Arabidopsis thaliana: one gene and its partner. The protein of the gene in region 1 purifies or fractionates together with the protein of each later gene. This does not show direct contact. Each region holds a gene or a part of one and is shown on either strand. Other genes may lie near its edges.

The links.
Region 2: the proteins of TOZ (region 1) and AT3G21540 fractionate together in Arabidopsis thaliana (co-fractionation; one large-scale study listed by BioGRID). This does not show direct contact.

What each region holds. Positions count from the first base shown.
Region 1 is NC_003076.8:5,503,569-5,511,381, forward strand, and holds TOZ (Transducin family protein / WD-40 repeat family protein), read right to left. Parts: upstream 5,794-7,813; 5' UTR 5,699-5,793; coding exon 5,402-5,698; intron 5,276-5,401; coding exon 5,093-5,275; intron 4,935-5,092; coding exon 4,773-4,934; intron 4,618-4,772; coding exon 4,397-4,617; intron 4,288-4,396; coding exon 4,005-4,287; intron 3,889-4,004; coding exon 3,754-3,888; intron 3,530-3,753; coding exon 3,411-3,529; intron 2,959-3,410; coding exon 2,802-2,958; intron 2,616-2,801; coding exon 2,369-2,615; intron 2,288-2,368; coding exon 2,211-2,287; intron 2,012-2,210; coding exon 1,892-2,011; intron 1,781-1,891; coding exon 1,650-1,780; intron 1,561-1,649; coding exon 1,386-1,560; intron 1,297-1,385; coding exon 973-1,296; 3' UTR 674-972; downstream 1-673. Other genes in the region: ITPK1 (Inositol 1,3,4-trisphosphate 5/6-kinase family protein), read left to right, coding at 6,322-7,281. UniProt on the Arabidopsis thaliana protein: Essential protein involved in the regulation of cell division planes during embryogenesis which defines cell patterning, especially longitudinal division planes of the proembryo, probably via the regulation of embryo patterning genes expression patterns.
Region 2 is NC_003074.8:7,585,169-7,592,971, forward strand, and holds AT3G21540 (transducin family protein / WD-40 repeat family protein), read right to left. Parts: upstream 5,831-7,803; 5' UTR 5,689-5,830; coding exon 5,455-5,688; intron 5,257-5,454; coding exon 5,041-5,256; intron 4,927-5,040; coding exon 3,805-4,926; intron 3,562-3,804; coding exon 3,439-3,561; intron 3,281-3,438; coding exon 3,099-3,280; intron 2,812-3,098; coding exon 2,580-2,811; intron 2,352-2,579; coding exon 2,142-2,351; intron 1,959-2,141; coding exon 1,830-1,958; intron 1,713-1,829; coding exon 1,644-1,712; intron 1,455-1,643; coding exon 1,332-1,454; intron 1,251-1,331; coding exon 1,200-1,250; intron 1,109-1,199; coding exon 932-1,108; 3' UTR 718-931; downstream 1-717. Other genes in the region: DMP2 (transmembrane protein, putative (DUF679 domain membrane protein 2)), read right to left, coding at 6,540-7,094.

The DNA of each region.
Region 1 (7,813 bases):
ATTGAATCTGATTGTGCTCCAACTTAATGAATTTGATCTATACCTGTCGAGTGCCGATCGGGGGACCTATTTATATTTATATCCATAAGAGTTGTTTTAAAACATTATTTAGGTGACTGATTAGAAGAATCTAATCGATATAAATTTTATTTAGGTGACTAATTAGGCATCTCCTCTCCATGCATAATGTATGACGTAATATTAAAAACACATGATTAATGTTAGTTGCAACTATTAGAACCAAATACAGATGTACAGAGTACACGCACTGGTGAAAACTAGAAGCTTAATTACATTAAGATGGCTTCTAGAACGTTTCATGAGACATAACCTTGCATATATTCTCTCCACTCTCTACAATCATCAGTATTTAAAGTACATGGCTAATTTGGAGTAATCAAGCTTATCTAGAGAAAACTCAAATTAATCCTGAAAATTTCGTAGCAATCTATGTAAAGTTGTGGGTGTTAAATGAACTGGTATCTATGACACTTACTTATGCTGTAAGTTGCATGTTAAGGAGATGTCTAGGTAGAAAAAATAGTGAGCTGAAAGAGTGATAAGAGGGAATAATAATGGGAAGTGAAGATCCTCATGAACCATAAAATTAAGATATGTTTTATGTGATGCATGACGTGTATTACACAGATTCTAATTCTATGAAGAAATGATATACTAATTTGGTCGACTTTACGTTACTAATCATGTTCGTTCCCATGACGCTAATATACGCTGACGTAAAACCAAAAACCCAAAAAAAAATCTAGAAACAACAAAAAGGTGAATAGATCTTTTTCAGCTACGAAATACTTTTTTAAATCTCAACAAAAATTTAAAAACTAACAGCACTTACAACAACCAATTTAGGCAATTACACAAGAAAACGAGAATAACCAAAAATTGGGATTCCACCCCTCAGATCTCAATCAAATTTATAATTCATGCCATGGTATTGATGAAGTATTTCAAGACTCAAACTGCAATTACGCTTCCCTGTGCTTCGGCAATGAGTCTCTTCTTATTCGATTTACCTTTGGATTTCTGAGACTTTCGTTTCCTCGAAGGAGTCTCCTGCTTTAGCTCGTCTGTGTCTTGTTCCATTGCAGCAATGACATCTTTTTCTTTTTTCTTCTCGTCCTTAGGATACTCTGTCTCAACAGTCTCTGGATCGATCACAGACATCTCACCAAGTGTGTAGTCTAACAAGAAACTGCTTCTTACAAATCTGTCAATTCTACTGAAATGTCTCTGACTATATGGGATTAACCCTTCCAGGAGTTCCCCAATTCCTTTTACCTGTTGGAAAAATAATCCCGAAATCAATCCAAGCGAAACCGATACTATTTACTGATATTGATCTTTTCACTTTTTATGTTAAACCAAACCTGAACAATTTCTGTGGGAGGAAGTATGTTGAAGGTTTTGTAAAGAACAAACTGAGCAATGTGGCATAGCTTTGGTTTTGTGTTCCATTCTCGGACATATTCAAAAAGTAGACGGAACTCTTCTTTTTCAAGTCCTTGAAGAGCTTTCACTATCTGTTCGTCTGAATCTCTTTTCCTGTTACACCAATTGCATGTAAGAAAAGGAGGAGACTTAATATCGAGAAAAGAAAGCAATTGGTACGTGTTCTTAGATGGCTTTTTTACCTGCAGAGACCACTGAAGAGCTCAAAAACTTTGTGAGGCCTACAAAGCTCAAATGCTAATCTTATAGCTTTAGTGTATTCCGCATCTAACACTGCGTTTTCCAGCTCTTGACCTCTCAAGATTGCTTCTTCCTGCACATCGGAAGTGTTTCAAAAATGATGGTCGGACTAAAGATCAAGCACACATGACTGCTCCACAGAAACCAGACTATTAGAAATTATCTAATCAGTGAACTGACAGACCTCTTTTCGGAAATCGTCTTCTTTATCTGAAGCGGTTGAATCATGCCATAAATTAATAACTGCATCACCTCCACCAGTTGCAATCATTTCTGTCTTCTTTCCAACAGCTAAAGCCCATACCTGTAAAAGTTGAACTGTTATTTGTCTGAACAGAATAGCAAGAGGTCTCTGCGACTAATGGCAATGAACATATTCCATCAAAAGGCTAAAAATAAATACTTCCAATACAAATACAGGCAAGCCGAAGTTCATAATCCTATAAATGATAGCATCAAAGGCAGACCAAGATACATCAAAAACCAAGGACAGTTTATGTCACCTTGTCCTCGTGCTGGTCATATGTGGCAATGCACTCGCTAGTGTTCACATTCCAAAGTTTCAACAAACCATCGGCACCTACAAGTGCATGGTTAGAATGTTAAAACTAAAAATGAAGAAGAAATGACATCAGTGTAGTGAGTGATTAGTGAAACTTACCACATGAGACAAATTGGGTTCCATCAGTTATAAATGAGGCCCTAAGTACACTTGAGGTATGACCTTCAAATGTTTTGAGGCAGGAACCATCAGATATAGCCCATATCTTTACTGTCTTATCTCCTGAAGCTGTCATTACGCACTGATCAACAGTTGAGAACTCAACAGAAAAAATCCGCCTCTTGTGTCCTTTAAGTGTAACAACATGTACCAAGTCTGGTAGTCTCCATATGCTAGCTGTACGATCCTGTAAGACAGAAACCAACAGTCAGATAAGAACGTGAAGCATGTCTCCATCAGAGCCCAGTGCATCTTCATTCAATAGGAGAGAAAGGAAGACAAATTTCTCAATTCATCTGTATTAGAAAAAAGTTCAATAGAATGAATTACCATAAACTTAAACAACAAATGTTTGCTCATCATATTGTCTTACCTCAGAACCAGTGCAAACTAAGCTATCGTTACGAGCAACAGCCACGGAATTGATGTCTTTATCATGGGCAGCGACAACACTTCTAGTTTTCAGATTAATGGGCTCCTCTGAGTCCTCTGAAATACCATCAAGGCTCCAGACCTTCAGTGTACGATCACTAATCCAAAGGAACGTAATTAAGAGATTAAAAAAATATATCCCTACAGTTTGGTAGGAGATATAACAATAGATACATGTCTCTATGTTAACAATCAAGACAGATTCTACACTTTCTGCATTTATGCACACAAATTAGTTACAGCCAGAATATTTCACTGAGAAATGAAGGTAACAGAAGTCAAAAATTCTCGACCACACAGTCTCTATACTACTAATCTGATAGAAAAATTTATTTTCCAGTATAAGGCCTAACAGTAAACAGCCTTATGCTGGGTGGCTGGGTAATTGATCCTTTCTTATATTTCCTCAGTTGGGTGGCTGGGTAAAGAAAGAACAGAGTCCTAATCAGGATTTCCTCATTGTTATAAACAATATATGCATAAACTAGAAGCATCATGCTTCACTTATATCAAAATAAAAGGTATATGCAATCATTTATGTAGCACGTACCCACTTCCACTGACAAAGAAACTGAAGGACTTCTTCGCAAAAGCAACCGCTAAGATATCGCCATTATGGCCAGTACCAACTCCGATACAAGATTTGCTTGTTGCGTTCCATAGCCTTACCTGTAAAGTAATCAAATACAAGTTAACCGAGTCCACAGATCACTCTAGCAGAAAAGGTTTTTTTGTAGGTGATGTTGTGGGGAATGATGTGCATGAAAAAGCAATGACATAAGCTACAAACAACCCTAACGAAATCTTGAACAAAAAATTCCATCCCTACTAATCTAGCTTTCGTGGTACGTAACATAATTTATGAAAACTACAAGGTGAGTAAATGGACTTACAGTTTTGTCTTTACTTCCAGTTACGATTAGAACATTCCCAGAACTAGATACGCAAGTGTCGAGGGACAGAACAACTTCCTTATGGCCAGCTAACACGTAGGAACATGACATTGTTGCAACATCATATACACGAACCTGCATATATATATATTTGCAAATCTTAGTCCATGAATAATGGAATCTTAGACTTGATCATACTCACAGGATAATGACCAAGCCCGTATGATACAGGCTGAAAAAAGCTCAATTACCTCCTCGAGATTTGTAGCTACTGCGAGAAACTGTTCTTCATCACCTAGGAACTTCATATCAGCTATTTCTTCATTATATCCAACCAGCCTCTTGCTTAGCACTAACTCTGTTTCTTCCACATTTTCCACAACGGAGTAGAAAAAGAACTGCTGATCAGCAGTCACACAAAGCAGTCCGTGATCAGAAGGCAGCATAGCAGCTGCAGTGAATCCTCTTTTAGATTCCTCATCATCCGAGCTGACAGTAATATCCGACGACTTTTGCTCATAGAGGCAAATTGAACTGTCAAAGTAAACAGCCAAAGATTTCAATACATTTTTCTTACGCCAGGATAGTTTATATGACTTTACACCAAACATTATCAACGTAACAAAACCTATTAAAGGCTCACCCTTCAGACTTCCAGATGCGCACAACACCACGTTCACCAACAGTAATAAAATATGTTGCTTGAGAATCAGATTCCTTCTTCTTACTCTTCTTCTGATCCAAAGAAGCTACAAATGAAGCGAAAGGCGTCCCAGAAGAAACTGTTGTCACAGCTTCTAGTACCTCATACGTTGCAACTGTAGCCTTGCAGCTATAATCATGAAGGTCCCACAAGTTCACAACCTGTGATTAACCAATAAGTTAGCACCAGTAATCAACTGAACTTTAGAATAAAGGCCGTAATTTACTGCCTCATACCATTTAACAAAACACCAACAGAAAACAGTCCTACTCCTGAAGATGCAACTCAATTAAACTAGAGAGGATATAGAACTCACTTTATCTCTTCCAGCACTGAATAAAGTCAATCCATCCTCTGATAGAGCAATTGAAGTCACAGCTGAAAAGTGCTTCTCCATAATGGCAAGACATTTCTTCTCAGTATTCTTTGCATTAAGATCCCAGACACGAACGGTTGCATCATCACTTCCCGAGATAAGCTACACCACACCATCAAGAACACACTCTTATCATCAAACAAAAGTGGAATATAGCTTTACAAGAATAACATATCTCTTTATAATCGAGAAACTCTATCCCTTTATAACACAAATACTACTCCCAGATAATTTGACCCATAGACGGAATTGTTACATACAATGTTTTTGTTTGAATCAGGATGGAAGAGGATACTTGACACAACCCCTTTATGGCCTCTGAAATAATGAGTGCAGAAACCACCATCAACATCCCAAACAAGAACTTTCCTATCAGCTCCAGCAGTAGCTAGCAATCCTCCAGATGCGTGGCAAGCCATTCCCATCACAGGTCCTTCGTGTCCCTGCTCATCATTAAGCACAAATTATAGACTAAAACACCACAAGGACAACAATAATCATATTTAGAAATCAAATTTTTTAAAAAAGAGAAACCTAATTCAATATCAGTTAGTACAATATATATATACCTTCCAAGAGCGAATGCATTTCAAGGTTTCCAAATCCCAAACTCGGATTTGTCTACTATGTCCAGCAGAGAAAAGGAGCTTATCATCAGGACTAAGAGCTAAAGCAGTGAGCGTATCCGACTCGCCTTCAATCGTGGATTTCACTGATGAATCCGTAGAATCAACGATGTTAATGACGTCACCACAGGCGCAGGCGATGAAAGAACCATCAGATGAAACAATGAAAGGACCACCGCCGTAGAACTGCTTTAGAGATCGTGAGCACCTGTAGTTCTTCTTTAACGAATGAGGAGCCATCACGACGGCGAACTCTCTTTCCCGTCCGGTGAAGAGAACGTTGAAGGACTTTGCGCGAAGAAAAACGGTAGCCGGAGAAAGAATTAGGGTTTAAGCAGCTCGCTTTTATACCTTGTCTTTTTTTTTCAATTGGTACCAAATTTTAAGACGTACCAAATTAAGCGTTTGCGTTTGCGTCTGCGTTTGAGATCCAAATATTTAAGCCCATGAACTATATAATTGGCCCATAATAATTATGAAGCAATCGCAACCGTCCATCTAATGAAAAAGACCTAGACTCGTCCTCTTTCGCACGCTAACACGTGTTCAACATTCGCCACTTGCATCTTCACACGTACCAATATTCGATTCCACACGTGTACAACATTCCCTTCTCTCTCTGTTATTTCATCTCTAGAAAAGGGCACAAAAAACCAAACTTTACGATTTCTCCTCTCTGGAATCTCGATTCTGTATGATCTCTTCGATCTAATCGAGTCTTCTAAACGTTCCGTGTAGAATTTCAAATCTAGGGTTTGCTAAAGCTTGAACCTTTCTTACCCTTTTCTCTCGAAGAGGTTTTGATTCCTGGGCATGAATTTTTCCCTAATCTTGTTACCTTCGAAGCATAACAACAACGAAAGATGTCAGATTCAATCCAGGAAAGATACTTAGTTGGATACGCACTCGCAGCCAAGAAACAGCATAGTTTCATCCAACCTTCTTTGATCGAACACTCAAGGCAACGAGGCATTGATCTGGTCAAGCTTGATCCGACGAAATCGTTGTTGGAGCAAGGGAAGCTTGATTGCATAATCCACAAGCTTTACGATGTGTATTGGAAGGAGAATCTTCATGAGTTTCGCGAGAAATGTCCTGGTGTTCCTGTAATCGATTTGCCTGAGGCTATCGAGCGATTGCACAATAGGGTTTCGATGCTTGAGGTGATAACTCAATTGAGGTTTCCTGTTTCAGATAGCGAGAGATTTGGTGTCCCGGAGCAAGTTGTTGTTATGGATTCGAGCGTCTTGAGCGGTGGAGGAGCTTTAGGGGAGCTTAAGTTTCCGGTGATTGCTAAGCCGTTGGATGCTGATGGGAGTGCTAAATCTCATAAGATGTTTTTGATTTATGATCAAGAAGGGATGAAGATTTTGAAAGCTCCTATTGTGTTGCAGGAGTTTGTGAATCATGGTGGTGTGATCTTTAAGGTCTATGTGGTTGGAGATCATGTCAAATGTGTAAAGAGAAGATCTTTACCTGATATCTCTGAAGAGAAGATTGGGACGTCGAAAGGGTCTCTTCCGTTTTCGCAGATATCGAATCTGACTGCTCAAGAGGACAAGAACATTGAGTATGGTGAGGATAGGAGCTTAGAGAAAGTGGAAATGCCTCCGTTAAGTTTCTTGACAGATCTAGCAAAGGCCATGAGGGAATCAATGGGACTCAATCTCTTTAACTTCGACGTGATTAGGGATGCCAAAGATGCTAATAGGTACCTTATAATTGATATTAACTACTTTCCTGGATATGCTAAGATGCCCTCTTACGAGCCTGTGTTGACTGAGTTCTTCTGGGACATGGTCACTAAGAAGAATCATGTCTGAGAAATAATCTGTTGGGGAGTTAGCAGGAACATTGTTGGGGAGGATTTGTACCATTGCAATGTGTTGCAACTGCCATTGCAATTCTGGCCTATGGTGACTAGCTGCTTTGCTAATTTTCATTTGGATTCTTGAACTTGTGCTTTTTATATTTTTTTAGTTGTTTCTCTTTTGTTTACTTCCGAGTTTTGCAAAGCCATGTTCAAATGCATAACTGTTGCTACTCTTGAAAAGCATTGAATCTCTAAATTCTTGGCAATGTGGTCTGTTCTCAACTGTTGGTAGTTTGTGATTTCTTTTCAAGCTTTTATGGTGCCTGTTTTCTTCCTCAAATCTGACAAGACTGAGATATTTGATTAAGCATTGGTATAAGTTGATTAGTAACCTTCACTTGGCAATGCTTTTCCATTCTCTATATTATGAACTGTTTATGTGAAACCGGTGCTAAGTCTTTGTATCGGATTTCTAAGACATGGAGATGGTTTGCAAGATATCTCCAGTTACTTGTATCTTCGTCCTGTGCTTTCTTGTCTCT
Region 2 (7,803 bases), on another chromosome or scaffold:
AACAAAATGTCAAAATTGAGACCATAGCCAAAAATACAGATGCAAATTCTGACTCCGGCTTCAACTGAAAACAAAAGCAAATATCTCAAGTGTCACTTCCATGTACTTAGTGTCAGAGGTTTAACTTACCACCATCAGGTCTGCTAAATTGTGCATTCCAGGAAGAAGAGTAGTCATCTTTCTCTGTGTAATCAAGAGACATAATGGAATGAGGCATAGTCACTTGCATTGAAGCAGAACTCTTAACACAAACAACTGAAAGTAGTAATCCTCCACAAGAAATTGCAAAACATAAAATTCAAAGCTTGTGTAACTCAGGAATGAACAATAATCACTTGATGATATATTGCAAGGGGTTTGTTTCTGTAAAATTGACCCAAGATGAAATTTTTATTTCCTTTATCATAAACCCATTTCACACGCTTTTATTTCACTATATGAGTGAGAATATTTTCAGAAATCGAAATCCAAATTGTAAGAAAAAATTTCGTGTAATGCTCATAATCTCGATCGTTTTGTGTGTATATGTATATTGTATATACGGAGCAGAGAAAGAGACCTTGAGGTAGGCGCGAGAATCAAGTAAAAGCGACGGTGTCCGACGAAACTCACCATTCGATCACCGTCGCCGTCATCACTGTTCCGCCATTGCAAAGACCTTTACGTTAACCGGAAATTAGTGGAGCTCGGAATTAAACCAGACTGGTTTAATCAGTCTTAAACCACAAACATATCATTTATTCACGAATGGCCCTTTAATTTTAAGAAATGTACAATTTTGACCCTTGGTAACGAAAATTTATATTTTGACCCTTTCGAGCCACATTTGACATTTCCACGAAGTGATTTAGTAAAACATTAAATGGAAGAAAAAAAAAGGTTACAACAGGCAAAATTGGATTTAAATTAACCATCTTTAAAAGTTACATCCTCAGAACAAAGCATGGCCATGTTGTCCTTCCTCTAATTTCTTCTGCTTCTTCTTTCTCTTTTTCTCCATCTTTGTATCTCCTCGTGATGCCATACGTTTTGCTTGCTGTGACCTTATCTCCAATAGCTTGGCCTTTGCATCTTTGAAGGGAGCATCAGATCTTGCATCCATCATTTGCTGCAAAACACCACAGCTTCACTTTAAATACCCACAAAGATGAGATAAAATGCTAAAAATGAACATAATCCAAAGTGCGAAATGTTTTTACCTTGACATGATCCATGGCGGCCAAATTGAAACCGATTGTATCTTTGCATGCCTGATAAGTTCCAGATTCATATCAAAACCAATTCAGAAATAAAAAGATATACAACTCAACAACATTTTCCTCTTTGCTAACCTTGATTTCTGAGTAAAGAATGTCCCTGAGAACGCTTAAGATTGGTCTGGCAGATGGTGTTGTTACCAACTGGTTGTGATGTGTCTGTAATATAATGGTTGCGATTCTGCTAACCAACTCTACCTGCAGGATTTGGTAACAAACATTAGAGATATTCTAAGACGAGAAGGATGGATCTATAATCTGTTGTAAAAATATAACAGGTTGATGACCCAGATCGAGTACATTCTACTTTACAACACGAAGCTATATCTATAAGCCCTTCAGAGCTAAAATCTAGAATCTACGACACAAAAGGAGTATATAATTTACCTTTTCGGGAATTAAACTCCAGTCTTTCATGTAGCAAAGAAACTTCAAAGAATCTGAGAATGGTAGAGCCTACATAAAACCCAAAAGAGGAAAGGGTATTGATTAACATAACCATGGATCTAGTACGAGTTGGGTGCAACCAAGTAACTAGTAAAACGATGGTTTGATGGAAGAAAGGCAACCTACCAGCAAAGTCTGCTCAAGATCATTTGTTCTCACATTTGAGATGGCCCTGAGAACATATTCGGACGGAGAAAGCCCGAACATCACAGCGTTGGGTAGGTATTCAGGAACTTTTCCCTTTGTTTTCTCCTCCTGAAGATTGGAAGAAAGAAAAATCACGATGCAAAGAACAAGTAGGAAACAAAGTAGCAACCGTAGATATTGGCATAACCATTTTGTGTTAAATTCAACTCCAAATTAGCCAAAAACGAAGTACCAACTAGGGGGATGTCATGTCGATATGTATAGATAAACAAACAAAGTAACGATTCCCACCTCATAAGCAGCATGACGCTTTGTTTCATCTTCTGCTACTTCCAGAGCATCTATAATTGAATCAGCAGCTGATAGAACATCTATCGTCTTCTTGCCAGCTAATGCTGCAACACCTTCCTCTGGAATTTCCTCCATGGGTCCATGCCTGTCATCTGCTGCATTATCAATCTCAGACTCAAAAAGCTCTTCTAACCTCTTTTCCTTCTCTTCCTGCATTATTTCCAGTAAAATTACATTAATTGACCTAAAGTCACATAAAATAACTCGTCAAAATATACTTGAGATTTATGTAGACATGACAGTATGACACCAAATCTACATTCACAACCACATACACATAGAAGAGTTATTATATTTGAATGCTTGAACTTGCATGACTTCCGTATTTGATTTCATCATGTAAACTGAAATAAGTAACTTCCAACAGTGGGGAATTACCTCGAGGAAGAAAGGTTCTTCAGAGCGATCCCAGCGACGCATGGAGCGGTCATGAGATCCTGTTACGAGAAAATCACCACGGTTACTGATAGCAAGGCACCAAATCTCTGCATGATGTCCTTCAAGCGTTAACAAATGCTCGAATTTGTCAGCATCCCAATACTTGACGAGGCGGTCTTTCCCAATGCTGAACAGATAATGGGTATTCCGAACAAATTTTACACCCATGACACTGTAAAACAAAGTCGCGTGTCAGTTAAGCTCCACAATCTTTTAATGATTCCAAGGAGTCTTTAACACAAAATATAATATTTGCGGTAATAATCAACATTTTACTAGCCAAGTAAATCTGTTGGGAAGATACTGGAAAAGGAAAGGGGTTTTCTGCTTATATATCATGTCATGCAATTAGTCATACTGTTTTCTTACACAAAATTATAATATTCAAGGAAAAACTGGGTCCACATTATTGAGTACGTTATGCCATTTTCAGAAATATGGTACGAATTATGGAAGTACCTGTCACCATGAGCAAAGATAGACTTATGACAATCACCAAAATCCAAACCCCAAATTTTCAAATTTTTGTCCTGAGAACCAGTAACAATCAACTCTCCATCTGATGAGATGTCAATGCACATCACAGGCAACTTGTGGCCATATAAGGAGAGGTAGAATTTTAGGGAATCCATGTAGAAAACCTGAAACCAATATAAGGTACATAAGTTAGTGTTACATACGTCAATGTAAATGATAATACGATAGATACGATTATAAGAATGTGGTTAGCGTATCATTTATATGACGTACTGAAAATTATTATTTTCTCATTTACATATGCCATAAACAGAAAATCTACCTTCACTGTGGAATCAAGCAGTGCAACTGCTATGTGTTTAGCATCCGGGCTGATAGCAACAGCAAGTACATCGTCATTCATCTTCATGGACTTAACATTTGAAACAGTGAGTTTCTTGGTCGCCTGCAGGTTATCAAACACAATATGTTTTGATCGAATCATTTTAGCACACTGTAATATACTACTCAAATAACACTAATAAACAATGTGCTCATCAACAACTTTCTTAAGAGTGAGCAATTCCAGAAAACAAAGGCACGGAAAACAGGAGATGGAAAAAAAGAGAGTAGAGAGGCAATCTATGATACAAAAACGTTTACTTATCTAATAGAGAAAATAAAAGAAACTTAAGGTCAGGAATCTCACCTTGCCAGATTTCTGTTTGACTTGGTATTCCCAGAATTTGACTTCATGATCTGCACTGACTGTGACAAACCCGCTATCGTTTGGAATAGGTGTAATTGACCAAATAGTGCCACCATGAGCCTTCACTTCTTCCACTTTGGTAGCGCTCCCTATATCAATGATTTCAAGTACCCCACTCTTGGTTCCAACAATACCATACTTGTTTTGGGGAACAATCAAACTGCATAATCCATATCCTGAATCAATGGTCCGGAGGCAGGAACCTGTACTGGGATTCCAAATTTTTACTTCACTGTGACTGGTTGACATCAAAAGGGTGTTGTCTTCACTGAGGGTAACACTCCTCACATCAGAGCGATGTCCTTGGTGTTCAATGGTAACAGTTTTCGCGTTTTCGCTGCTTTTAAGGGAATAGAATTCCAGTGAGTTATTGTTCAAAGAGAGAGCTAATGTTCCTAAGGATTCTTTTGGAGCTGTCGGACAGAAAGAGAAAGAGCTGATTTTTCTCCCAGCTCTAATGACTTGTAAGAGCTTGAAAACATCAAGGACAGTAGGACTAGAAACAGCATCAGCTAGTTCAATTTTAGCACTTGCTTCGCCATTAGCGGTTGAATTTTCATCCCCCACTTTGGAACTCTTCTTCTCTTTTCTGCGAAGCCTACGCTTTGCTTTCTGCTTAGCCTCAGCTTCATCCAAAACCCGGAATATTTCAATAGTTTTACCTGCCATTTGACAAGCCAGAAGTTTTCCCGAAACATTGAATCTAACTCTCGCAACTCTATCCTTAGTTTGTCTCTGAATTTCCCCAAACAGCTTTAGAATTTCCCACTTGTTCTCTGTCGAATGTTCTTCACTGGCCTTGATTTCATTTGCATTTGAGTCAGATACCAATGATCCGTTAGACGAATATTCCTTGACAGCATAAAATCTAAGTTCTTGATCAGCCGACCCAGTAACAACATATCTCTCCTCTGGATCAGTATCAACAGACCACACTTCACTATGATGACCACTAACTATTTGCATACAGTGTTGGGTCTCAAGATCCCAGACTCTCAAGAACTTGTCCTTAGATGAACTTACAAGTTTCTTACCACCATCCAAGAATACAAGATCTGTGACCTACATTAGACACATGAACATTGCTCTTGTCAAAAACCACTATAAAAACCCACACACCATAGCAGAATCATCAAACACTAAATACTAGAAATATCAAGCTAGACATTAAATAACCTGATCTCGGTGCCCACGGAGACGAAAAAGACCTGATTCGCCAACAACATCCCACAAGATAATATCATTATCTTTACTTCCAGATGCAAGCATCGATCCAACCTTATTGTACCGCAAAGCAGTCACCGCCCCCTTATGGCTATTAAAATTAACCTCACAAGTTCCTTTCTCAGTATCCCATATTCTTATGCTCCCATCTGCATACCCAACTGCCACCTGGTTTATCACACAGAATCAAACAACAGCAAACTCCTTCAGATACTCAATAGTACAAAGCACCATGAATATTATTAATTCTAGCTTAAAATTCAAATACGACATTTCTAGCTCTATTTAGCTACCAAATAGATTACAAAGTGAACAACTTTCAAGTCATTAAGCAAATCAAAATAAAAAACGAACAAAAGTAAGTACCAAGCTAGAAGCAGAGGAGGCTATAGAGGTAACGGCGAGAGATGGTCCACCGCGAGAGGAGGAAGGAGTTAGGGTTTTGGAGCAGACACCTTGCCGGACGTGCCATATTCCGACCTTCTCCAACGCCGGAGCAAGCACATACTTCCCCGTCGAATCGTAAGCTATGTTCGAATCTACAGATGAAATCACACCGAAAGAGGTCGCTGCATCGTATCTTTGGTAAGCCTTCACCATTCTCCAAAAGCTTTGGTTTTGATTTTCTCTTCTTCTTCTTCTTCTAGCTTTTGATGGCGGGATTTAGGGTTTTAGAGTGGTTAAGGCAGCAGGGTTCTAACATCCAATGTTACTTTTGATAAATTGCGATATAGTCTTAAACCTTTTGTCTATTCAATATTTAACCCCTAACTTTATTTCAATAGATTTGAAGCCCTTACTCTTCGGACCCAAACTTTTGTTTTCTCAATTTGCAACTATGTTGTGTAATCATTGGTACTAAGAACGAAACAGAACAAACAAAAAGAAAAATGGCTCACGACATCCATGACCAATATTAGTAATTTTTTATCATTTTCTTAAAAATCAATGTATAATAATTGAATGATTATCATCTAAAGAAAATCAAGAACGTACACTTTTTATCTTATTCATACTCTAGGCTTACCTTTTTAACATCCACATTAATTTTTTTTATTTTTTTTGTTAAAGGGCCCATCCACATTAATTTTTCCTAGCTAATTTCTTTCAAAATAAAAGGATATATAGAAATATTTGTGTGTATATACATTAGTTCATATAAGTGTCTCTTAAGTTTCAACTCCTTAACATCTAGTGATTTCAATAATGCTGATTCACTCACTATGAGCATAAAAAGAGATATGTTATTACTTTTGAGTTTATCAACAAACATATGGAAAAAATACCAAAAAACAAACACACAACATATGATCAGCATTCAAATACATAAATAAAAATAACAAAAAAAAAGATCACAATTATAAAACTTTCGTATTTACCATTCCACGAATAAACACATGCCATTACATTTTAATGTTTTATGCATATAAATAGTATAAAATCATATACTATCATTTCATCTCGGAAGCATCATCCTCACTGTGGTCCGAGGGATTCCCAATTCCGTGACGTCTACTAGGGAACACCGTGAAAACAGCACCGGAGATAACTCCGATCACCGGAGGCAAAACCATGAGAAAGATCTTCCCAGCGGAGCCAAAGCCAGGATAGAAACAATTCACGGTGTTTGCATCCAACAAGGAAATAACACTGAACACGATAAGAGAGAAGAAAGCGTGAACGAAATCTCCAACTCTAAGCCTTTTCGAAGACAAATCCACTGAAGATGAATCTGGCCAAAGACCCTTCACGGTGGCAACTCCATAATGAACGTAACCGTCTCTTGTTCGGTAACTATCGGTGAAGCAAGTGAAGCAACAAGAGAAGGCACAAATAACGATGAGAACTCCGGTTAAGTATTTGTTGATGAGGAGGCAATGTCCATTGTTGGTTAGGACAGGGTTTAAAAATTGGAACAAGAAGACGGTTCCGGTCGGGAGGAGCTTGATGAGGTCTCCTACGCCTGAATATGTCCGGTCTCTTATGGCTTTGAATGTTTTCGACATTTTTTTGTTCTTCTTTTGTAAATTATATTTTTAGTTGTCGTTTATAGTGTTCTTGAATGTGAATTCATAAAAGTGTTGTTTGTCGAGTGTTTATAGGATGAGAGAGAGACATTGCTTCTACGTAAAAACGGGTTTGGTGTTGCTTATACTCTTTAGAAAAAGTTGGGGGAAAATTTAATTATAACTTTTTTATTTGTTTAGGTTACCCTTTTTAGTATTTTAGGCTTGTACTAGAAAACGTGGCTTGGAGGATTAGATTCGTTATGTTTCTCTTTGTATTAGATACATAGAAGTGTGAAGTCATTTTTAATGCTCCATTCCATTTGTTGTCACACATATCGTCATACGGTCGTTGAAAGATCTGGTAGTCCAAAACGTATCGAGTGTGAAACAATATGTTTGGCAAGTAGACCGGAACATGTATAAATTTATTTATATATTTGAATCTTGTTAAAAACATTTTTGTGTATTTAGAGACTACACATAGGAAACTACTGATTTATACATATGGTTTACTCGACTTAATAGTTTGTTAAAACCGGTTAAGTTTATGAACGTTTTGTAGAACCTGTGAATACTCTGTTTTTAAATAAAAATAAATAACATAACATTTCTAAAGTAGTATGATAGTATCACAGCCGTTTCATTTGTGTGAATGTCGCGAAAATCAATATGCTCTCGGAGTTTCATTGGTTGTCACACACTATAG